Linked DNA regions of Canis lupus familiaris. The protein of the gene in region 2 interacts with the protein of the main gene of each other region in a biochemical or structural test. Links are inferred from orthologs where the notes say so. Each region holds a gene or a part of one and is shown on either strand. Other genes may lie near its edges. The genes, in order: RASGRP3, PRKCB and RACK1.

Region 1 (6,885 bases), on a different chromosome or scaffold from region 2:
ATTTTATTTAAAGTCAATTAATTAGCATATACTCTTTTATTAGTTTCAGGGATAGAGTTTAGTGATTCATCAGTTGCATATAACACCCAGTGCTCATTACATCATGTGCCCTCCTTAATGCCTATCACCCAGTGACCCCATCTCCCCACCCGCCATATATTATTGGTGTTTAAATAAAGAAATTACTGGATAGTTTACTGATGGTTTTAAGAATCTGACAATGCTCTTGAAAGATATCACTACAAAAGAAAACATTTTCATTACAGAATGCTTTCAGATTAATACTATTGCCTTTTGGTGCCTTTTTTCCCTAGCTATCTTTTAGGATTTGGTCCTCATGTTGTATGAACAGAGTTTCCTGAAGCTCAATAGGAGCCACCTTTTCATCTCAAAAACCTTCCCTTTAGTTCTTGGTATTAGTTGTCTGAGTGTAACTTGGATTTGTACTTTCAAGCAGCAAAGATACAGCAAAGATATCTTACCACCTAGCTATAGTTTTATTCTGGTTTCTGACCCTTATCCTCTAAAGACAGACACACACACACATATAAACACACTTTTATGAAGATGAAAATCAATTAAACCCTTGGATCATCTGTGTATATACAGTATTTTCTCTTAAAGGCAAAAGAATGTTAAAATTAATTAAAATAGACAACATTTCATTATAATTTAGTCTTTCCATGCTGTCATTACAAGAGTATTTGAAATAAGATCATTTGAGGGGAAAGCGAGTATTGGAAAGAATTAGAAAGATCCTCTTTGATAGGGAGAAATACGCTCTTTAAAATGATCCTATCTGTTCATTTCTAAGAGAAATGTAGAACCCTCTATGGGAAATAACTGTGTTTCTCTTTTGCAAAGCAGCCCAAGTTTTCTACTCTAAGTAGCAATTTATAGTCTACTTTCTTAACTAAAGCATTCTAATGGGAGTTTTACAGAGTCTGCTGCCATTTCAAAGCCATAATCAAATCTAGAATATGTTATTGGGCATAAGCCCATCTTGTTTTCTGTTTCTATGCAAAGACAGGAAGCAGGAGATAAGATCCCTTGTTCTAGAAAAGATTTAGAGGGGGATGCCTGGTGGCTCGGTGGTTGAGCATCTGCCTTCGGCTCAGGTCGTGATCCTGGAGTCCTGGGATCCAGTCCTGCATCAGGCTCCCTGCAGGGAACCTGCTTCTCCCTCTGCCTTTGTCTCTGCCTCTCTCCGTGTCTCTCGTGAATAAATAAAAAAATATTTTAAAAAAATTGGAGGAATGAAGAAGAATAATAAAATGCAGGCAGATACCGAATAAAGGGATACCTGACTGTAAATGAGCGGAGGCAGCTGTTGGGCCTAGAAGACACTAGAAGTTGGGGTTTCTTTCCCTCATTCTGGCTCAAGGAGCCTCTTGGTGGAGCCTGGGAGGCAACCCCAGTCCCATGGAATTGGCATTTAGTTTGGGGCAAAGGCAACTCCCTGCTAGGTCTATGCCCTGCTGGTTTGCTCCCCAGCGCCTCAATGAATTGTGTAGAGGAAGAAGTTAAGCAAGTGTGAGAGGAACCCCGGGGAGGCAAGTAAGTCCCACTGGCCTTTCTCTGGTCCCTAGACACACTCTGCTGGCCTGAGTTGGACTCTGAGTCAACATGGAGCAGAGGAGGGGGAGGGCACAGCCAACAGCTCAGGGGCACCCTGGCAGCCCAGTCAGCACCAGGTGCACATGGTTGCCACTAATCGTTTGTGATACTTGGTGATTTTTCAGACTGTGGAGCCAATTGTCACAAACAGTGCAAAGACCTCCTGGTTCTGGCCTGTAGGAGATTTGCTCGTGCTCCCTCCTTGGGCAGTAGTCATGGGTCACTGCCTGGAAGCCCCTCATTGCCCCCAGGTAAGATCCTCTGCTTTCTTTTCTACCTCAATTTCCTTCTGCTCATCTTTCCATATTGGCCTTTCATTGGGTTCTGGATCTGAACCTGGTCAGAGTCATTATAAACACCCTACTTCAGGGTGAGTAGCTATGGCTATACCCTTGACTCCCACCTGCTTCTCTCTGCTCTCAGGTCTCACATCTATGCATTTCACCTGCAGGCAGTTTGGGTCCACCTCTGGTCTGTCCTTCTAGGGCCTTGCTCATCGGACTCCTGTGATTTGCACCAGCTTTGACAGTTTGCTCTAAAGCAATCAGATGTCAAATAATCACAACAGTCTCTCCTCTTCCAGTGCAGGATGAGGTGTTCGAGTTCCCAGGCGTGGCTGCAGGACACCGAGACCTGGACAGCAGAGCCATCACACTGGTTACAGGCTCTTCTCGCAAGATCTCTGTGAGGCTGCAGAGGGCTACCACCAGCCAGGCCACTCAGACCGAGCCTGTATGGTCAGAGGCTGGCTGGGGGGACTCAGGGTCGCATACCTTCCCCAAAATGAAATCCAAGTTCCATGACAAAGCAGCAAAGGACAAAGGTTTTGCCAAGTGGGAAAATGAGAAGCCCAGGGTGCAGGCTGGTGTGGATGTTGTGGACCGGGGTACCGAGTTTGAGCCTGACCAGGATGAAGCAGACGTGGGTGAGACCAGACAGGATGGTGAGGTCAGTTCTGGGTCAAAGCACAAGTAAAATCACAAGAAGGAGGCTAAAAGGGGCTGAGACAACCATTATAGTGAGTCCAGGAGACAGCCTAGTAGGTTTCTTTTTTTTTTTTTTAAGATTTTATTTATTTATTTGAGAGTGAATGAAAGAGAGAGAGAGGGAGAAGCAGGCTCCTCACTGAACAGGGAGTCCAACATGCGGCTTGATCCCCAGACCTTGCGATCATGACCTAAACTGAAAGCAGACACCCAATCCACTGAGCCACCCAGGTACCCCTAGCCTACTAGTTTTGAGAGCTGAGTGGTTGCACATTAACACATACCACTTTTCATCTTACTCTTGGCTTGTTATATGATCCCAGGCAAATGATTTCTTCTCTTTGCACCTCAATTCCCTAATATATAAAATTGAACCAGATGGATTCCAAAGCTTAGTGAGGCTGTCATTTCTGTGGACTGATATGATGTCCCAGGGATCCATGACTCACTGTGTGTATCCAATAGGCCAGTACCTGTATCAGTTTAGTTTTCCAAGCTAGAATCAGGGTAGGGGAGGGAGGGTGATGGGCAGTGGAAGCAAAAGACTTGCAGATAGAGAAGAAGAGTTGGAAACTTTTGCCCTTACCACCCCCAACACCTGCAAAAAAAAGTCTTTTGACAGCATCATGGAGAAGCAGGGGTGGTGAGAATCAGAGACATAGGAGCCTGAAGGTTCTATAAGCCAGGCCCTGGCTCCACATAAAAATGACATTCACATCATCCAAAGCAGATTGGAAGCATGTGGAATTTGTTAGAATAAGCTGAAAATATAAATTGATTCAAGTTAGACTTAGATAAATTTATTAGTCAACAGTCCGTAATGTATTAAGAAAAAAGATTTGGGGAAATCAGTGTCATATTCCTAACCTTTCAAGCCATGCCATGGAGGGCAGCCATAGCCTCCCTATGGAGTCGTTCTCATAAACAGAATTATTGGGTTAGGCAGAGAACCTATTGAATCAAGCCAGTGCTCTTTATTCTTATGGGTAGTCCTTCACATTCCGTTCTTTAGGGAGACCTAAATACACAGTCCCCTTGGTTTCCTGTGATGAGAAAAACTCCAGTGACCTTTAACCCAAATTCCTCTAGTTCTTTCCTCATTGAAGACAATTAATAAGGAGGCCAGAAATTATCTTAAGTCTTATGCAGTTTATTGTAAGTTTTGATATGTTTATGTATAGCTCTCTCTGCATATCTCTACATATACCTATATAGATATGTATCTTTTCTCTCATACAAATTTTCTCAGTGCTCTTACCCAAGTTTACATTGTGTTTTTCTAAGAGAGAAACCTCAACAAGAAATATTTCATAGACCAGTGTTTTGTGGAGCCCCTCTTAGGAAACATTAATGTAAGCAAACTTGTTGAATAAGATTTAAGATTTCATGTGCTGTGTAGAATACATGATCTTTTAATTCCCTCTAAATCTTAAGAGTACAAAGTGCTTGATCATTTGATCAAAGTGATCATTTCAGATGTTCCCTCAAATGTAACTGATAAACTGCTTTCTAAGAATATTCTTGTTTTATTAAGTGTGACCCAGCCATACAACAGGTTCTGATTCATGTTGCAGGATGGCTGACTTCAGGCTGAGGACACTGGAGGCAATGATGTCAGCATTTGGAAGGAGCAAGATGAGAAACTCTGAAGAACACTCCAACTCAGGAAGTTATCTGAAAAGATATCTGGGACTTTTACTGCTTGGTGACACCATGGGGTCTCCCTGATTGGACTATGGGACAGAGGATTTACCCTATGAACTATTTATTTCCTCCTTCCCAGGCCCTAGTCAGGTGCTACCAAGACTGGGTGATGTAGCTAGTAGATTTCTCCTGTATCTTTCTCTAGAGCCATTTATATATGAGTGAAGTGAAAGCTTTTCTGCATGTACTTGATACTCATTCTCTGAACTCTACTTTTTTTGTGAGAATATTATTTCAGTATTTTTATAAACTTTTGGTGGGGGAGGAGTCAATTTAGAGGTCTTTTTTTGTGTGCTTTTTGGATGGGACCAGGACTTATTTTCTTGAGGGGACAAAGAAAGCTCTTCAGATCCTGGAATGAGGTGGTTCTTCTAACGTAAAGAGATGTTTACATTGTTCTTACCCTACAGTCGCTGTCACAATGTGTAACAGGTCATACATTTATGTTCATATAAGTCTTACCAATTCTGCATCCTAAGGAAGCTATGACACAGCCATGAAAATCTCCTGATATTTATAATTGCTGTGGGGGAAAATTAAGTATACTTGTCTCAGCTGACTATGTTTAGCCATTTTTCTTAAGACTCCTGTTAAGACTGCCAGTAAGAAATGTGGATAGTGATTACAAAATCAATTAAAGTTTGGGCGGATAAAATTTAGGAGAGAAGCAAACCAACAAGCAAACCACTTAGTGAAATGAAAAACAACCAGCAATCTTTAAAAATTCAAAACAGTTTTAAGAACTTTGTTTGTTAAAAAAAGAAAAGTTTTGATTATAAAAGAGAACTTTTGTCCTCTTCCGAAGAAATTGCCATCCATAATTAAAGAGTAGTCATAGAAATCAAATCCTCAGAAACCTTTGATTAATATTTTATTTAGCTTTTAAGGTATCAGTATTTTTCAATGTCTCCCTTTGACCTACAGAGCTACAGGTGGGTCTGTTTTTTACATGATTAGAGGAGAGAGAACTTAGTTCAAGGTGTTCAAATAGAGATTGAATTGAGCCAGTGGACGAGGGGAGTGACCTGCTGCCATGTGGCCAGTGTGAAATTATGGCCCCACAGAAGTGCACTGGTCTTCATTGGAAGTTTAAATGTATAAACCATACAAGATTGAATTTATTTATATTTGGGGCAGTCACTTCAGTAAATAAATGCCTTTCTTCTCTTTTTCCATTAGATAAAATTAAGGACAGTTCTACTCAGCAAACACTTGACCACCTGCTTTAGGCAGGTCCTGTGCTAAAATGCACAAAGACAAGCAATATTTAATATCTACCCTTTAAGGAGAGATGGTTCCTTAAAGTACAATTCCAGATTTGCTAGGACAGACTTCATTGTGCCAAACAGATTGAGAAATTGATTTGCAGAAATATTGCGAATTAAATGAAGTTATTAGTTGAGGGTGCTTTGAACAAGCTATGTAATAAGAGAACTTGCTCACCATTTGCAAAGAACCTCAGAAAGCAAGCAGCCATCCCCAAGTGTTGGCTTTATGTATATATAGTATCTATTCCTCTTCCCAAATGCAATGAAATATGTGTTAACAAAATTAAAAATAGAAAATGACCATTTAAGTACCTTAAACATGTGTGTTTTTTTAATTTTAAGAAAATTCAAGAAGAAAATTTGGATTGTTCTTTTTCCTCTCAAAGCAATTATTTCACTCATCACTTAGTTTGGGTTATTTTTGAGTTTTCATATCTAAGAATTTTATATTGTCAGCCTTCCTATGATGAAGATAAGAAATGTACCTCAAATAAAAAACAAATAAATACAAACAAAGAAAACAAAACATGTATATGTGTGTATATGGGTATACATACACACACATGCACACACACACTAGTATTACAATTTTCTTGAAGAGGACTCTGTGTCCATAATGAAGCTGCTTTATAATTTTGATTATATTATTTACTCACAACAAGTGGTAACTCTGATGGTTCTAATCTGTCAGTTTCCCATTATCAGTAAGATAAGTAAATTAGGCAAACCCATGGTGAAGCAAAAAGAACTGTTATGTTTGGTCCCTCCAGGCCTCCCTTTTGTAGGTTTAATGGTCACCACCACCTTTTTGGTGAAAGGCAAAAGCAAAATCAGACTCTTAACAGTGACTATTATCAAGTCCCAGGAGAGAATAGTTTAGGCGCTGCAACTGAGTCTTCCTTGAAGGATGTACTGATTGGATTGATCTTTAGATTTGCCTAGCTAGAGGGTGGCCCTAATTGGTATTAGTGGCAGCCTCCTGAAGCAATAACGTTCCCAAATATCCATGGTAACAGAGTCCCTCCAAAGGTCCAAAGGGCTTGCTGTTTCACAACGAAGGCAGGACTCCTACAGAAGGGAGCACCAAACTGTTCTTGATGATAGAAACCTTAGCATACCTAAAATAAACATATTGATTTTTGAGGACATAAATTCAAAGAACATATGGCCATATGGCTCTGGCATGTAATCCGCAATCAGATTTAAATCCCATCTCTGCCAGTTGTAGTTATGAGACCCTGGGCAAGTCATGTACTCTGTTTGAACCTCAGTTTCCTCATTTCAAAACGAGAGATTTCACCCCTTCCTCA
Region 2 (8,316 bases):
TTGCTTGTTTTCTCTGTCTGGAACACTCTACCTTCAGGCAGCCCCATGGCTCACCCTCTCATTTCATTCAGGTCTTTTCCCTTTATGAGAAAGGATATCCCTGTCTGCTGTCACTTTTCATTCCTTTATCATGCTTCATTGTTCTTTATGGCATCAATTTCTACACCACCTGGTACAGATTTGTTAGTTTATTTATTAGGTTATTGTCTATCCTCCCTATTAGACTGTAAGTTCCATGAAGGCCAGACCTTCTGTCTGTTTTATTTAACAATGTGTGGAATAGCATATTGCAGGTGCTCAATAAATTTATTGCTACATGAATGAGTGAATGCATGAGTGAGAGGAGGAATGTAGATTCCGTGTAACCATATCCTGCTTCCTAGAGAAGTCAGAATCTCAAAATTTAGGTGAAATTCTACCGAATATGAACCAAAAAAGTATTTGCTTGGCTGGCTAAAAAAAAAAAAAAAAAATGCATCCAAGGGCCACCAATTTGAGACTCCTGCTCTAAGGGATCTGGGTCCAATGGCAACTATGTTTCCTCATGCTCAGATGGTATAGACCCTCCAAGAATCCAGTATTTCTTTGGGATCCACCAGCCCTTGCATCTCTAGGCTCTGGCCCCATGAGGTGCTGTTTGTTGTTACAGAGCAAAGTCAACCAGTGCACTTCGTTCAAAAGGCAGGATGTGGGCTGCAAGCTTCCAGCTCATCGGTTCAAAGGAAATCTACTTCAGCAGAGATGTCTCCTGGGATGTTTCCCCAAGCCTCCCAGATTGGCAATGGGGCCTCTTAAAGGACTAATAATAGACAGGCACGTCCAGTTTCCAAAACATGTCAACCTTAAAAGTGAAGGCTATTTTTTCCTCCTTACCTTTGAATTACTATGCAGCAGAGGGACATTCTATTATCACAGCTGCTGCTCTCCACATGCAGCCTAATAATGACTTACCACTCAGGGGCTTCCAGGTGAAATCGTCATAGTGGGACCTGAGCTTCATTAGGCAGAAGTTCTGTGTAGCTGCTTCAACTCCACCCTGCTCTCCTTCACGCCTTCATCACGAACGTACTTTGTAGTTTAGGCTGCCCTAATCTCCATTCGACAACACTGGGACTCTGGGTGCACATATTAATCACTCTGAGCCTCACTGTCTTTATCCATAATGAAAATTCTGGACTTACATGGGGTTGTTGTGGCAAGGACTAAGTAATGCAGTGGAGGTACCGAGCGCTTGATGTTTATTATTACCGAACACCTACAGGACATGGTGAGAGGCAAGGGGCAATGTCCTTTAAGCTTTCATTCACTCACTTATTCACACAGTCACTTACTCATTCAACAAACATTTACTGAGCTTCGAGGAGGTGTCAGGCATGGAGCTTGGCTCTGATGACACAATGGTGAGCAGTGCCTGCTCTCAGAAAGTAGATCTAGTGAAGGAGTTTATAGTCTAATGTAGTGCTGTGTTCCCAGACGGTGGGGTATGGGGGGTGCAGATATTGAGACACAGTAGGGCGCTACATCACACTGCGTTATCTACTCATCTACACAATTATCATTCTTTTGGTTACCTTTCCATCCTCCCGATTCCATCCAGGAGAGCGTCCCGGTGGATATGAGTGTGCCGTTAGCATCTTTCTAATATTTGTTAATGTCAGTCTCTAACAGATAAAAGAAGGCTTCAGATGCAGATGCTTTGGGCAGGTGGCAGCATCTGGAGAGATTGTACTACTACGGATATCTTTTGCCATTCAAACTAAGAAACCAGAAAGACTTTTTTTTTTTCTTTCCTTTCAGATGGTGCACAAATACGACCAGCGTTTGTGAAGATGGGTCCCCTCACCAGCCCCATTTTACAGTTGAGGAAAGTGAGTCTCTTTGGGGATGGGATGGACAGACGGTATAGGGAGCTCTCTTTTAAATGTTGGGCAAGCAAAGCCAAGAATGGCCTTTGTGGCGGAGATGTATACCTACCGATATATAAACTAAGATTGCTCCTCCCCTACCTCTGCAGTACGTGTGTGCGTCTGTGTGTGTAAGTGTGTGGAGCCACAGGCCTTTCCGAATGAGTGACAGCGGGAGCCCATCCCTCCAGGAGACGCGTGCGGAATGACCAATGGGATGGATGCGGGGTGGACGGGCACCGGTCTCTGCAGAGGCCGGGTGGAATCCGTGGCGCCCACCCTCGCCACCGCGCACCCCCACCCCGAGTCCCCGCCGGTCCTTCCGCGGGGGGCGCCCTCAAGGTGCCCGTCCCGCCCTCCGCCCCTAGTGCAACCCCGGCGCCCCGCAGCGGGGAGGCGGCGGGCTCAGGTCCGGGCATCGCAGGCTGCGGGCCCCGCGCCGCAGCGCTGCGGCTCGGAGCGCTTCGCCTCGGGGTGCCAATATGCAAAGCAGCTGGCGGCGCTGGGCGGGGCCCGGGCGCCATGCAAATGAAGGGGGCGGGGCCCGCCGTGGCCCCGCCTCCCTCCCCCGCAGCTGGGGCCAGCGGTGCCTCGCGCAGCTGGACGAGCGGCGGCAGCTGGGCGAGTGACAGCCCCAGCTCCGCGCGCCGCGGCGGCCAGAGCGGCGCAGGGGAAGCGCCCGCGGCCCCGGGCGGCAGCAGCGGCCGCCTCCTCGCGCGCCTCCCGGGCCCGCCGCCCGCGGCCCCGCGGCCCCGGGGCCGGCACCTCTCGGCTCCCGCTCCCCGCGCGCAAGATGGCTGACCCGGCTGCGGGGCCGCCGCCGAGCGAGGGCGAGGAGAGCACCGTGCGCTTCGCCCGCAAAGGCGCCCTCCGGCAGAAGAACGTGCACGAGGTGAAGAACCACAAATTCACCGCCCGCTTCTTCAAGCAGCCCACCTTCTGCAGCCACTGCACCGACTTCATCTGGTGAGAGCGCGCGGCGCAGGGCACCCTCCCGGGGCCCCGGACGCCCGGGTGCCCAGTCCTGCGCCCCCCCTCCCCCCCCCCCCCCCCCCCCCCCGGCCCCCGCCCCGGCCCCCGCCCCGGCCGCGGGGCGCCTCCTTGCCCGGTCTCCCCCCCAGCCCCCTCGGGAGCGCCCCGGGGCCGTGGCGCGGGCGCCGGCTCTGCACCTGCTCGGAGCGCGGGGTGGCCGTCCCTGGCCCCTGGGGGGGCAGCGCCTCGAGTGCCCGCTCGCCGGGCTTCCCCGTCTCCCCGCCTCCTTCCGGGCCCGCGGCGCCTGTACCCCCTCCCCTGCTTTCCGGGGGCAGCGCCCTGGGTGTCCTCTCTCTGCCTTCCCGCGGGCGCGGGGCATCCTCTGCTCCCCTCCCGTGTCTCCCGCCTGGCGCCCTGGGTTATCGATGGTTGCGCTTCCCTGCGGGCCACGGGTCCCCTTCGCGCTCCTCAGTGTCCCCTTCGCGTTTCCCCTTCGCGTCCCTGCGGGGACTTTTCTCCCCCGTCGCCCTGGGCTGGGGGAGCCTTTTCTGTCTCCCCAGTTCCCCCAGGGAACTCCACCGCCTCGGGGTCTCTCTCTCCTCCTCCGTCTGGATCCGTCTGGATGCGTCTTTATCGCTTCTCGTTCCCCGAAGGTCCTCGGGCATCTCTGTGGGCAGACCTCCCGCCTGCCCCCCACTTCCCGCGACGGAACCGCTCCCCCCATCCCGCCACCTGGTGGTCGCAGCCTCCTTTCTTCTGCCTTCCGAGGGGAGGTGGGGGTTACCGCTCAGCTGCCCCCTTCCCCCAAAGGCGGAAGACTCTTGGGCACCCGCCTGCGGCTAGGAGGTTGCACCTGGGGTAGAGAGGCCGGGGAAGGGGGGAACTAGCCGGTGGCTGGGCCCCTAGGGCTGCCTGACGTGCCTCTTTCTGCCTTTGCAGGGGCTTCGGGAAGCAAGGATTCCAGTGCCAAGGTAGGCTGTGGGGCTCCGGGAATGCCTTTTGTGGAAGAGATGGTGAAAACACTTTCTAGAAGTGACTGAGTTAGGCAGAAGGCGAAGGACAGAGTGACCTGCCAAGCTGGGACTGTACCACCGCAAAAGGGCCCTTTGAAGGGCTGTGTGTGCAGGCAGTGATGCTCCATCCAGGAAAGGCGGGTGGAGCCAGAGGCCCTACCTGCCAAGGAAGAGCGTGCACCCTTTCTCCCTTCCTGGCAGCAAAGCGTCCAGTTCTGTCTCCTGAACCTATCCCGCTTGGTCAGTCTTGCTTCTGGAGCAAGGGTCCCCAGGGGCCATTTCTGGGAGGACGCCCTCCTCTCCCTAATTCCTGCTCACTCGCCCTTGCTCATCTCGCAGAGTGAGGTTCTGTCCCTTCCCCTGCTTCACAGAAGTCTCCACAGGTGGCTGCTGCCTCTGCATATGGTGCATCCCCTGGAAGGGTGACTGTGGGTGTCCCCTGGGCCTCCTCTCTCCCAAAAAAAGGTCACTCCAGATGGGGTGCTTCTCAGACATGGGTTTAAATCGCCCTTTCTATCTTCTGGCTGCATACAGGAAGGACTCCAAGTGACTGGCAACCTGGGTCCTTGCACCTGGTTCGAGGTCCTTGACCCTAGCCAGGGATGCTCAACCTCGTGGTGACTTTTAACCGTGTGCAAGGTGGCCTTGGCCGTCTCTGGTTGTAAATTCACCCTCCAGGGTCAAGTTGCCTATGGACCTATTTAGCCTTTGGGCTGTCGAACATTTTTTGAATTTGATGTCAACCTTTAGAACCGGGAGATTTTACCCAGATACTTGAATTTTCAGCTTCCAGTTTGCGAAGATTTGGTCCCACTTTCTTGTTGGAACAGTCATTTGGAGCTATTTTCATAGACGGGGCGTACATTCACCATTTCATCCCAGTCCTTCCCAGCTGGGCTTGTTTCACCAGTTTCTGGCTCCTGTAGACATTTGAGTTTGCAACTAATGTTCTGGAAATTTTTTTTCCCTCCCCAATTTTTGGCCAGATGTGGTTGAGTTTGGGGAGAACTGTCTCATTTCTGGAGTGTGTCGTAGGGGTACATTGACTGCCCTGGGGAACTGGGTTTGATCAGAAGAAAGCATTAAGCCTTCAAGAGTCAGAGATGTGACTTAGCTGTGTCTGTGGTGTTGTAGCACTCCACCCTCCAGGGAAAAGTCAAGTGATCCCTGGTGAGTGTGGGTGGCATTGTCAGTTGTACAGGATGCTGGCAGCATGGCACTGCCGTCTCAGAAGACTTGTAGGTTCCCTCCCTCACCTGAGATCCAGGGAAGAGCTGGCTCATCCAGTGAACCTTGCAGACCTGCCCAGCCTCTCTTACCAAGGAGTAGAACCCCAGTCTCACGCTCTGCACCAGAGGACTTCCCAAATCCCTTTATTATTTTTTTCAGCTTTATATACTCTTTTTAAAATTTTATTATTATTTTAAAAATATTTATTTATTTATTTGACAGAGAGAGAGAGAGAGAGAGCACAAGCAGGGGGAACAGCAGAGGGGGAGGGAGAAGCAGGCTCCCTGCTAAGCAGGGAGCCTGATGTGGGGACTCCATCTCAGGACCCCGGGGTCATGACCAGAGCTGGAGGCAGATGCTTAATGGACTAAGCCACCCAGGCGCCCCTATTGTATTATTATTTTAATCGAAGTACAATTAATTTACAATGTTATATTAGTTTCACATCTTCCCAAATCCCTTTAAAGTAGCAATAGCTTAGAATCTGTTGCAAACAGTTAGATTGTTTCCTAGAACTTTGGCCCCTAAAGCACAATACCAGTGGCATCTTAGTGCTGGAATGTGTAGATGATCTTTGAGGTTACCTTTCACTTTCATGAATGAGTTTCTGTCTTTGTCGCTTGCTGGGATTGGGGGTGAATTTTGAACATTTTTACTGCTACTTTTCCACCTGCTCTGTAGTTACTGATGCTTGGGGCAGGCACTCTGGAATGTGTAGGTGATAACAGGAGATCCTGTTTTTCAAAACCTGGAAAGTGGTAGGAATTTTCTGGTGTAGTGAGAGTACAGCGGAATTAAACTTTCTAATCAAATATGGCAACTTTAGAGGTAGACAGTACTTACTATTTTATCAGCTTTCTTTTTCTCTTCTCCCTGAGAGGCAGTGTAGGGTAGCGGGTGTATGTACAGGCCATCAGGCAGGTCACTGTGGTTTTGAATCTTGGCTTTTGGGACTTCCCAACCATCTTATTTAGCTCAGATTCCTTGTCTATAAAATGGGTCCAATAAATAGTACTTACTTTAAAAAGTTGCTGTGTAGGGGCACTTGGGTGTTTCAATTGGTTAAACATCTGACCCTTGATTTTGGCTCAGGTCATGATCTCAGGGTCCTGAGATCGAACCCGGATGTTGGGCTCCACACTGGGTGTGGAGCCTGCTTGAAATTCTCTCTTCCTCCCCTATCCCTCCCCTGCTGCATGCACATGTACTCTCTGTTTCCCCAAAAAAAAAAAAAAAAATCTTTTAGAAAAAGTACACCTGATTAAAATGAGTTCCACATTTTATAGAGAATATGTATGGTTTTATTCCTTCAGTTAAGTCAGCAGTCCAGAGCCCAGGGTGGGTCCTAGTTTCTTCCAGTTTTCAGTTCCACCATCCAGAAGTGACACTTATCCCATAGTCCAAGATGCTAGACTATCTAGTCATCACATCTTTATTTCAGCTAGCAGGAAGGAGGAAAGCGTAAAAGAAAGGCAAAGGCCATATGCTCACTGTCACTTATGGAAGTTGCTGCAAGATACTTCTGCCTATATGCTGTTAGCTAGGACTTAAGCTTAATCACACACCACACCTAACTACAAATCACACACCCACACCTAACTACATGAATGGACAATGTAATGTTAATTTCAGGTAGCCCTCTTTTGGGCTACAAGTTAGGGCAGGGAGTTCTTCCATTTCAAAAATAGAAGGGGAGGGGCATCTGGGTGGCAAAGTCCCTTGATCATCAGACTCTTGGTTTTGGCTCAGGTCGTTGATTGCAGGATCATGGGATTGAGCTCCGTGTTTGGTTTGTGCTCAACGTGGAGTCTGCTTAAGACTCCCTCTTCCTCTGCCCCTACCTTTTTAAAAAACAAAACAAAACATTTCTTTCAATTTATTTATTCATAGAGGCACACACACAGAGAGAGAGAGGCAGAGACACAGGCAGAGGGAGATGCAGACACCACGCAGAGAGCCTGATGTGGGACTCGATCCAGGGTCTCCAGGATCACGCCCTAGGCTGCAGGCAGCGCCAAACCGCTGCGCCACCAGGGCTGCCCTTTTTTTTTTGTTTTAAGATTTTATTTATTTATTCATGAGAGACACAGAGAGAGAAGCAGAAACATAGGCAGAGGGAGAAGCAGGCTCCCTGTGGGGAGCCCAATGTGGGACTCGATCTCAAGACCCTGGGATCATGAACTGAGTCAAAGGCAGATGCTCAACCACTGAGCCACCCAGGCATCCCCTGCCCCTACCTTCTGTGCTCTCTCGCACTTTCTCTCAAATAAATCTTTAAAAAAGTAGAAGGGGAGAGGGGGTATAATTTGCACTATCTTTGGGTAGGAGGTATGTAGGATAATCCTCAGGCGGGGAACCCACAGAGTCTCCATGCTCCCTTGTGCTGTCATGGAAATTGGGGGTGCTGGGATGGGTTGAGGGAGGAAAGATGGAAAGTCTATCAACCATGGGAAATTAGGGATTTCTGTGTGCCCAGGGGAGCTTTAGACTTCCTTGTTTTTGTACTGCTAGAGGATAGAATTCTAGATTGACTGCCACATGATTTTTCCCCTTTTGTTACCACTCTATTTTCTATAAAACCATTCCGTGAGGTAGTCTATGAATGTCTGATGACAGGCACTGGGGCCGAGCGTCCCTATTAAGAAACTGACTAAATTCTAGATGAGAAGTGGGACCCCTCAGAGAAGCAAGGCAGATTTTCCTCTAAAGCATTCTTTAGAGGACACCAGAACCTTCATTTGTGCATTAATTGTAATGAAGACAAGCCTTTGGGTGGAATTAGACTCTTAACCCCAAGAAGCTTTTGCAATTTGGCAGAGAGAACTTTTTCTTTGAAAGGAAGTTACTTTAGTAGGAATAGGGAGGCAATAAAATTTAGAAATTCAGAATTAATAGCATGGGGTTGGAGTCAGAACTGGATTTGAATCTCTGCTCTGCCACCTACTTGCTGTGTAAGCTTGGGTAAGTCACCCACCCATAGTGGCCTCAGTTTCCTGACCTGTAAAATGGGGGCTAATGGTACCTACCTCATAGGGTTATGGTGAGCACCAAAGTATAAGAGAAATATCCACAGTATCTGTGACTCTAAGTGAGATGATCATTATTACTTGGTTTGTGGTAGGAAACTGTGTCAAAGTGGGACAGAGTTCATTCTGGAAGTCATTGAATGACTAGGCTGCTTTCGTGTATTTAGGTAG
Region 3 (8,308 bases), on a different chromosome or scaffold from region 2:
CAAACTTCTGCATGCAAACCACTCTAATACCTCTTCCCCATGGTGATCCCTCCACCTGAAACACCCTTTAAATACTTGGTTTTAACTATTCAGCCTATGAGGCTGGTGACCAAGGTTAGAATCTTCCACAACCAAACCCTGTACCAGCAACAGCATATGAGACAAAACAGACCAGTCCCTGACCTCAGGGCACTGAGTAAAGCCCTGACAGATTCAAATAAGGGCAGATTGAGTTAAGTTTGTGGAGGCCCCACACACCACACAATCAGGGCATGAAACAAGGAGCCTAACCCAGACTTGAGAGTCACAGAGGGTTTCTCTGAGGTACAACCTGAATTGAGACCTGAGGAAGCTTAGTTAACTAAGGAAAGTGGGGGTGGGATATAGTGGGCCTCCTGTGTGGGAGAGAACTGATGGAGGAATGGGGAGAGCCAGCGTAGCCATAAAAGGAGTATGGTGCCAACCATACTGAATCTACAGAGGAACAGCAAAATGAAGGGAAGACACTTGCTTTAGCTGACAGAGGCCCTGTAGTCTTGGCCGCAACCTTTTCCCTCAGCCCCTCACCTATCACCCACAACAGTACTCATCACTTCATTCAAGGGAAGACCTGTCTCACCTCCTGAATGCTGGCAGGAGGGAACAGAGGCCTCTGTTCCTAGAAGAGGTCATGGGCCTCTAGCAGGGAAACCAGAGGGGCTTCTCCCCGCTGTGCTGATCTTAGGGATTCCCAGCAGAAAAGGAATGGTGAGACAGACTTCCTTAGAAAAGAATCTCCAAATTCTCTTTTGGGATGTTTACCTTGTGTGGGAATGGAAGTGCTGCCAGTGGGGACATGGGAGAGGACAGGCAGCCCAGAGGACAGGCTGCCAGTGGGGACAGAGGAGAGGACAGGCAGCCCAGGGCATGGGACCAGTGGGTGGGGAACATACGAGAGGGGTGGCCTGGGGAGCTGAAAGAAGGCTCTGCAGAGTAACTTTCCCCAATTTCACCCAAGGTCAGGTGGAGCCCTCCAACAGATTTCTGCCTCCTAGAGGGAAAGATCAAAGACCCAGGATGAAAAGGCCCAAAGGCCGGACCCAGGCCTGCTTGGGCAGGCAGCAGACTACTGTGGAAAGCACAGGCTTATTCTTAGGATGCGTCTAGCAGCCAAGAGAAGTCAGCCCCCTGGAAAGGGCCAGGCTTGAGGAGTCCAGGTGGGTCCACATGCCTAGCAGGGAGCCTTGGGGCCCCAAACGGAAGCAGGCATGTATGGGGCTCAACTCCAGCTTGGGCTGAGAGGGAAAGGCTGCTGCTACATGCCATCCCTGCCCCTAGCTATACCCAAAGTGTCCCCAGAGTCAGGGTCAGGCCTCCCTCAATTCATGAATACCCCTCAGTGGTTTTGTGGCTTGCCAGAATCTTCTCCAAGAGAGGAGAGACCAGGTGGTGATGATTGGAGAAAAACTCCAAGGTGGAAAAGCCCAAATCCTACAGTCTGGTCATCTGGGAACTCCACTATATTCCATTTCTCCCTCTCCTCTGCTGACATTGCCAGATGGGTATTGGTGGGTTCCAGGGGAAAACCCGAGATTCCCCCCCTTGGCCCCAGAGGAGGGGGCACTGCCAGGGGCCGGTACAGGGAGACGCCCATGGAATTGCGGGAGGCCAAAGACACCTACAGAAATCTTGGTCTCTGTGGCCAGAGGACTCTGGGAAAGGGCTGCGCAGAGGTGAGCCTGGGGAGGACGAGGCTAGCCGAGGAACGGCCCCCTCTGGAAAGGGGCCTGGTGGTGACGAAAGGTCGAGTCCTTGAGCATGCGTGAGAGACCTGGGAGGCTTGTTTTAAACCTGTCCTCCTGGCCCTCTTTCAGAGATGTTGATTCCACAGGGGCTCCTTAGCAAAATTCAAGAATACAGAGAGCCAAATGAGATTTCTCGAGAGGAGTAAATATAATATGACTAACCAAGGATCTCTTGGGTGAAGGCAGGAGATGAAGGAACGCGTATTCTTGAACTGAGAGGAAATCCTCTGCATGTACAGGCCAACACAGGGGAGTGTTTGCTCTGTGCATTTCCACAGCGTGGAAATCTCTCACCTCTCTATTTGTCCCAACCGCCCAGGGCACTGGCACGACCCGAGCTATGAACAGTGAACTGGATACTGGTGTGGGTGAAAGTAAGGGTCTCCCATTACCAAAACAGGTCAGGGTTGGGGTCGACTTCGAGTTTAGTGTTAGAAGAAAAAGACAGCTAATTGGGGGTGCTACGGAGGCATTTAAATGACCTTCGCAACTGGAGCCCTTGAAGCCTACTCAGAACAGCAACCACCCTGAGGAGCCATGTTCTTTCCCCCAGACTGCGGGCCCTCTGTCAGCTGCCCCTCACGCCTATCTCACTGTTCGGTTTTCAGCACTTCCAACACCTCCAGGATGTTTTGCACTGAGCATCCCTGCCCCCAGAACCTTATCCTCCCGTGTATCCACAGGGCTGTCTCCTTCTTCGTCTCTTTGCTCCAATTTCCTTCCCCCTCACTCCATCAAATGTAAACTCCAAAAAAACCTGGTCCTCACCCCCCTCTTGCTCACAGCTGTATCCCTCAAGACCTAAAACAGGGCCTGGTACCCAAGAGGTGCTAAGTTTGCCTGCATTTATTCTGCCAAGCATTGTTCTGGGCCCTTTACCTACCATAACTCATTTACTCTTTTCAACACCATTTTGGGTGGGTACTATTATTTCCAACCTCATTTCACAGATATGAAACTAAAATTAATACATGTTACAAACAGAAAATAAATACTTATTATGTATAATTCCCCCCCCCCTTATTTTGCTTAGATGATAGCGAATGGTACCACCCTGGTACCTCTCCCCCTTCAAAAAATATGTGACAGGAGCGCTGCCTGCCAGCATCGTCTCTCAGTTATCAAGGAGGCACTACATATTCACGTACCATGCGGCTAAACAGGAGGCCGGTAGGCAACCTGGGAACCCTGATCCACGGTGTCCCAGGCAGGTGGAACCTCCTTAGGGGCACGTCTGGACTCCCCAGACCCGCAGACCTGCCTGAGAGGCGGTGAGGCTCAGAGCCCGCTTTCACTCGAGACCCGTAAGTCAGAACCCGGAGGCCTTTGCTCTCGGGGTCTCTGTCTCTGCGTCGGCTCTCCGCGCTCCTGCCCAGGTGGGAGCCGGGGACGGACATGCAGCCCACGGGCCGATTGTTCGTTCCTCCCCGGTTTTCCGCTCCGTAACCTGTTCCTGTGTTTACTTCTGCCTGGACTAGGTCCTTCCGGACAGGGAGTGCCTCAGCCAATTCCCTCAAAGCAAAAACCTCTCCAGGGAGGAGTTGCCCTCTGCGAAGGAAATCAGTCAGAGTTTACTGGTTCACCTAAGTACAGTGTATTTCAAAAACTGAATACCATATTTTTCATATTCCTTACCGTTACTGGCAGTTCTCACCTCGAAATTGAGCTCCCTCAGCCTGGCCCTCCAGACCACCAAGCGGAAAAGGCAGGGCTCGCGCTGTGCCACGTGGGGGCAGGGAAGGCGCCGGACGTTCCTTATGGGAACATGCTGTCTGTGCCCGTCCCCTCTTCGTCTTCTTATACATCACGCCTCAGTGGATGTTTGAGGGGCCTTTTTAAACACCTGGTGGAGTTGGTTTCAGAATGACTTGGCATGGCACTGCCAAATTATGTTGCATGGCGGAGGCGACCATAAAGTTTTGCCATTTCATCTCGCCTTTTGACTTACGAGGCGCCGCCATCTTAGGCAGGAGTGAATAACGGGGGCCGCCATTTTTGCTCGAACGGGAGGGTATTTCCGGTTCCGGCGGGGACCTTTTCCTTCTTTTCCTCTGGAGGGCCTTGTCGGGAGCGGCTGTGCTGCTAGTCCTTCTGAACTATCCATCTCCATCCTTGTCGCCGCGGCGACACTCGCTCTCGCCGCCGCTATGACTGAGCAGATGACACTTCGTGGCACCCTCAAGGGCCATAATGGCTGGGTGACTCAGATCGCCACCACTCCCCAATTCCCAGACATGATACTGTCTGCTTCTCGAGGTACGGGCTAAGGTGCGGGGCAAAGGATTGAGGGATAAGTGGGTTGCGCGTGTCGCTTGGCGACTTGGAATACTCCGTCCGGGTGTGAGTTGGGGCATGCGGACCCGGGCCACGGCCTCCGCTTGGATAAACCCGCGAACCATCCCCGCTTGGCAGAGACGGAGACCTAGGTCAGCTCGTGGTCGCCAGGAGGATTGCAGGGTTGGGGTTTTATTTCTTGCCCATCTTCTCGCAGATGTGTGTAGGTGTGTAGCTGAGTGTGCTCAGGAGATACGGGGTCGGGCGGAGCGGTGATGATGCCAACATGCCATCTGAGTACCTGTGCTGAGAACCAGAGGCTGTTTCTGAGCTTACGCCCGGCCCGTGCTTAGTGGATAGACTGCAAGAACTCCCCTCGTTTCTTTTCATTCACTGAACCTGGCAGCATTCGGAGGCTTCTTGTGCCTTTTGCTGGCCCCCACACTATTAAAAAATAGTCTGAGGCCAGGATCATGTTTGGAGAGTAATTGGAAAACTTGTTGTTACTAACACGTTTCAGTGAAAGCATCCAGTCAGGTAGGATGTAAAGCAATTTTTCCGAATGCAGCCATTAGTGATTGTAGGAATCCCACAGCCAAGCAGCAGTGTTTATGCTTTAGACCTCAGATCAGACTCCAAGAATTGAATTGATCTGTCAGAAAGGGGCATCCATAATATGCTAAAGTTCTGCACACCAGAGTTTAATTTTCATGGCATTGCTTAGTTCTACTTGAATCTTTTTTGAATAGCCAATCACCTTGGCCTTGACTAGTAACAGCTCACACCCTGTAGTTCTTCCCCCTTGAGAGTCCTTAATTTGTTACCTTTTAAGTCCACCGATGACACTGAGGGATCCTGGATTATCCAGTAGGTCAGCAAGTGGGCTGTTAACTCACTGAGTTTTCTTTTTTACCTCTCCTTAGATAAGACGATCATCATGTGGAAGCTGACTAGGGATGAGACTAACTATGGCATCCCACAGCGTGCTCTTCGGGGTCATTCCCACTTTGTTAGTGACGTGGTCATCTCCTCAGATGGCCAGTTTGCCCTCTCAGGCTCCTGGGATGGAACCCTTCGTCTCTGGGATCTCACAACGCAAGTAGCTGCTCATTTAACTCTGGGACACTGGGCAAAGGCTAGGCAAAAATGAGGTAGATGCTGTTGGGCGGTGGTTTCCAAGGGAGATTGAGGTTCATTGTGGGTACTTAAGGCAAGAAAGTACCTAGAAAAGGTAGTTGGGATTGTTTGGCTTCTATCCTTGCTGGTTTAATTAGTTATGCAGAATTGTTAGAGGAGTGGGCTGGTTGAGTTTTACCACATACTGTGGTTGGGAGTAGGCAAGTGTTGAACATGTTTTATCTTGGGAGCTCAGTACTTGGATGGCCGGGCATAATGAGCATCCCAGTGATGACAGATGACATTGTCAGCCAATCCCTACGTGGGAGTGAGGACATGTCCTGCAATTCTGAAGGGATACTCTCATATATGCTCAACCATGGGCCTGTTGTGATCAGACCTATGTCCAGGGTCATGTGAGTAATGGCAGCTCCAGTGAGACAGGAACAGACCAGGGAAACATTCTGATGTGGAAGAGTGTTTGAGGCATCTAGAGACTGACCACGTCCTCCTCCTCAGGGGTACCACCACACGCAGATTTGTAGGACATACCAAGGATGTGCTGAGTGTGGCCTTCTCCTCCGACAACCGGCAAATTGTTTCTGGGTCGCGAGATAAAACTATCAAGCTATGGAATACCCTGGGTGTATGCAAGTACACCGTACAGGTAACTGAAGGCACATGTAGAAACTTCTCTCCCACCCTTCTTAACCTTGGCTTTAAGGTGATTTTAAGCCTGGCCTGGACTCTATAAAGGGAGCTCTTGATATTAATGGTTTGGGTTCTAGGGTTGTGAACACTTCCATGTAACTGAGGGAAGGTGAGGTTCTGGTTTCATGGAGACAGGATACTTTCTCTAATTTCTTTTCCATCCTCTGCAGGACGAGAGCCATTCAGAGTGGGTGTCTTGTGTCCGATTTTCACCTAATAGCAGCAATCCCATCATTGTCTCCTGTGGTTGGGACAAGTTGGTCAAGGTGAGCTTGGAGCCAGGGTATAGGGCCTTCACCAGCCAGAATGTTCTCCCACTGCCTCTCAGGTGGTCATAGGATCTAAGTTTGAAAGCTTTGTCCCTCGGTTCACTTTTCCTGTTGCACTCTTCTAAGTACAGGCCAGTGGTTTTTGATATTTGGTCTGAAGTAGCTCATGAAGCCCAGTGTCCCTCATAAAGCAACACATAGAACATTTGTTACCTTTTTTAATCTTGATTGTCCCTTAGGTGACCAAGACAAATTCTTTTTAACATTTTTGTTACTGATAGAATGAAAAATGGTCACCCTGTCCTGGAATGCTTTTAAATTAAGTAAATCGTGCCTTTTTTGTCCTGAGCAGTCCTGACCCCAGTTGGTTCAGAGCCAGATTCTTCACCTTTTACCCTCCACCTTACCAAACCTAGGTATGGAACCTGGCAAACTGCAAGCTGAAGACCAATCACATCGGCCACACGGGCTACTTGAACACCGTGACCGTCTCTCCGGATGGATCTCTCTGTGCTTCTGGAGGGAAGGTATTCAGAAACTGGGAGTTTACTACTCAGTGAGGGACTGTTTTAAAAAGATATTTAAGATATTGAGGTAGCAACCAAGAATAAATATCTTAAGATTGCTTCCTGGAAATGACATAGATAAGGCATACTGTTTTAAAGAAAAAGATTGTTTTCAGTAAAGCTGGTTTCTTGAAACTGTTCTTTTCAGAACTGATTGTTCTTTTCAGAACTGATTTATTTAGAAGTTGTCAGAGACATCGTAGGGTTGGTGAGGTGCCCTGCATTAAAGGAAAGGCATTCAGAGATAAATATTGGTATTTGAATCATTCATTAGTTTTTGGGAAGTTTGCGGGGGAAGGGGGACTGTTAAGTAATAAAAAAAATTTTTGAGGCAGTTAAGATTAACAACTGCAATGGGTTTCATATTGCCCTGACTCACCTTTCCTGTCTTCCCAGGATGGCCAAGCCATGCTGTGGGATCTCAATGAAGGCAAGCACCTTTATACACTTGATGGTGGAGACATCATCAATGCCCTATGCTTCAGTCCTAACCGATACTGGCTATGTGCTGCCACGGGCCCCAGCATCAAGATCTGGGTGAGTGTGGGCTACAGTTAAGGCTGAACACCTGGCTGTACTCTCTGAGTCCTGGTAATGTTGTGATTTCCTGATCTGTCACTGCTGGGATTTGAGCTTTCTGAATACCTGCTAACCATGCGGCTAGCAGTGGAGATCCAGGAAGAGCAAGGTAACAGCTTTCCAAGACTGGGATCTGCAGTGGTGGCAGACACTTGTCTACTAAGGGGGATGACAACTTACTCAACTTCAGCACAAGTTGATCTAGACTGTTCTGGGGGCAGGGGGAGGCATTCCTGTATTTTAGGCTGTTCAGTAACATACTCAGCCTCTACTCCCAACTGGATGCCTGTAGCAGAGTCCCTCCTTATCCTGATTTTGCCCATTCCCCAGGACTTGGAAGGCAAGATCATTGTAGATGAACTAAAGCAAGAAGTTATCAGTACCAGCAGCAAGGCAGAGCCACCCCAGTGTACCTCTCTGGCCTGGTCTGCTGATGGCCAGGTAAGTGAGTCTCTGAAGTGACTTGGCTTCTACCTTTTCTCTCTTCCTTTATTCTTGGTGTGTCTTTGACATAAAGTAAAGTGATAAAATTAGCCAGGTTGATTTGGGAGGACCAGATTAACTGTCAGTGAACAGAGTACATGTTCTGGCATTGGAAGGAAAATTGATCGATCTAGCAGTGATTATTAATTACCTTCTCTTGGAATACATACCACCTACAACCTGATGGTTCAAGGATTGGTGATCTTAAAAGGCCATCTTTTTACTAGAAATGCAGAGTTCTGTGACTCTGACATGACCTGTCGCTGTCCTTTCTCCCTTGCAGACTCTGTTTGCTGGCTACACCGACAACCTGGTGCGTGTGTGGCAGGTGACCATCGGCACCCGCTAGAAATGATGGCAGAACTTTAGGAATAAAACATTGGTTTTCTGACTTGTTTGTTTTTCTCTGATAAGCTACCTTCTAATGCTGTATTGCATCACAATGACTTGTGTCTCAGGTATAAATCCTCTAAGCTTGCAGAAAATGTTCTTTAGGAATCGTAAAACCTCAGTTCTAGCTTTATGA

The links.
Region 1: of the proteins of PRKCB (region 2) and RASGRP3, one has a biochemical effect on the other in vitro, tested with the Homo sapiens proteins (2 studies listed by BioGRID). The link is inferred for Canis lupus familiaris from reciprocal best matches to the Homo sapiens genes PRKCB and RASGRP3.
Region 3: the proteins of PRKCB (region 2) and RACK1 form a complex in vitro, tested with the Homo sapiens proteins (2 studies listed by BioGRID). The link is inferred for Canis lupus familiaris from reciprocal best matches to the Homo sapiens genes PRKCB and RACK1.

What each region holds. Positions count from the first base shown.
Region 1 is NC_049238.1:26,746,115-26,752,999, forward strand, and holds the end of RASGRP3 (ras guanyl-releasing protein 3), read left to right. Parts: intron 1-1,742; coding exon 1,743-1,868; intron 1,869-2,200; coding exon 2,201-2,565; intron 2,566-4,177; coding exon 4,178-4,186; 3' UTR 4,187-6,101; downstream 6,102-6,885. UniProt on the Homo sapiens protein: Guanine nucleotide exchange factor (GEF) for Ras and Rap1.
Region 2 is NC_049227.1:22,302,426-22,310,741, reverse strand, and holds the start of PRKCB (protein kinase C beta type), read left to right. Parts: upstream 1-2,666; 5' UTR 2,667-2,697; coding exon 2,698-2,870; intron 2,871-3,815; coding exon 3,816-3,847; intron 3,848-8,316. UniProt on the Homo sapiens protein: Calcium-activated, phospholipid- and diacylglycerol (DAG)-dependent serine/threonine-protein kinase involved in various cellular processes such as regulation of the B-cell receptor (BCR) signalosome, oxidative stress-induced apoptosis, androgen receptor-dependent transcription regulation, insulin signaling and endothelial cells proliferation.
Region 3 is NC_049232.1:609,935-618,242, reverse strand, and holds RACK1 (receptor of activated protein C kinase 1), read left to right. Parts: upstream 1-3,811; 5' UTR 3,812-3,931; coding exon 3,932-4,040; intron 4,041-4,324; exon of another isoform or gene 4,325-4,392; intron 4,393-4,981; coding exon 4,982-5,153; intron 5,154-5,455; exon of another isoform or gene 5,456-5,534; intron 5,535-5,693; coding exon 5,694-5,841; intron 5,842-6,055; coding exon 6,056-6,151; intron 6,152-6,570; coding exon 6,571-6,681; intron 6,682-7,116; coding exon 7,117-7,257; intron 7,258-7,629; coding exon 7,630-7,740; intron 7,741-8,065; coding exon 8,066-8,131; 3' UTR 8,132-8,173; downstream 8,174-8,308. UniProt on the Homo sapiens protein: Scaffolding protein involved in the recruitment, assembly and/or regulation of a variety of signaling molecules. Interacts with a wide variety of proteins and plays a role in many cellular processes.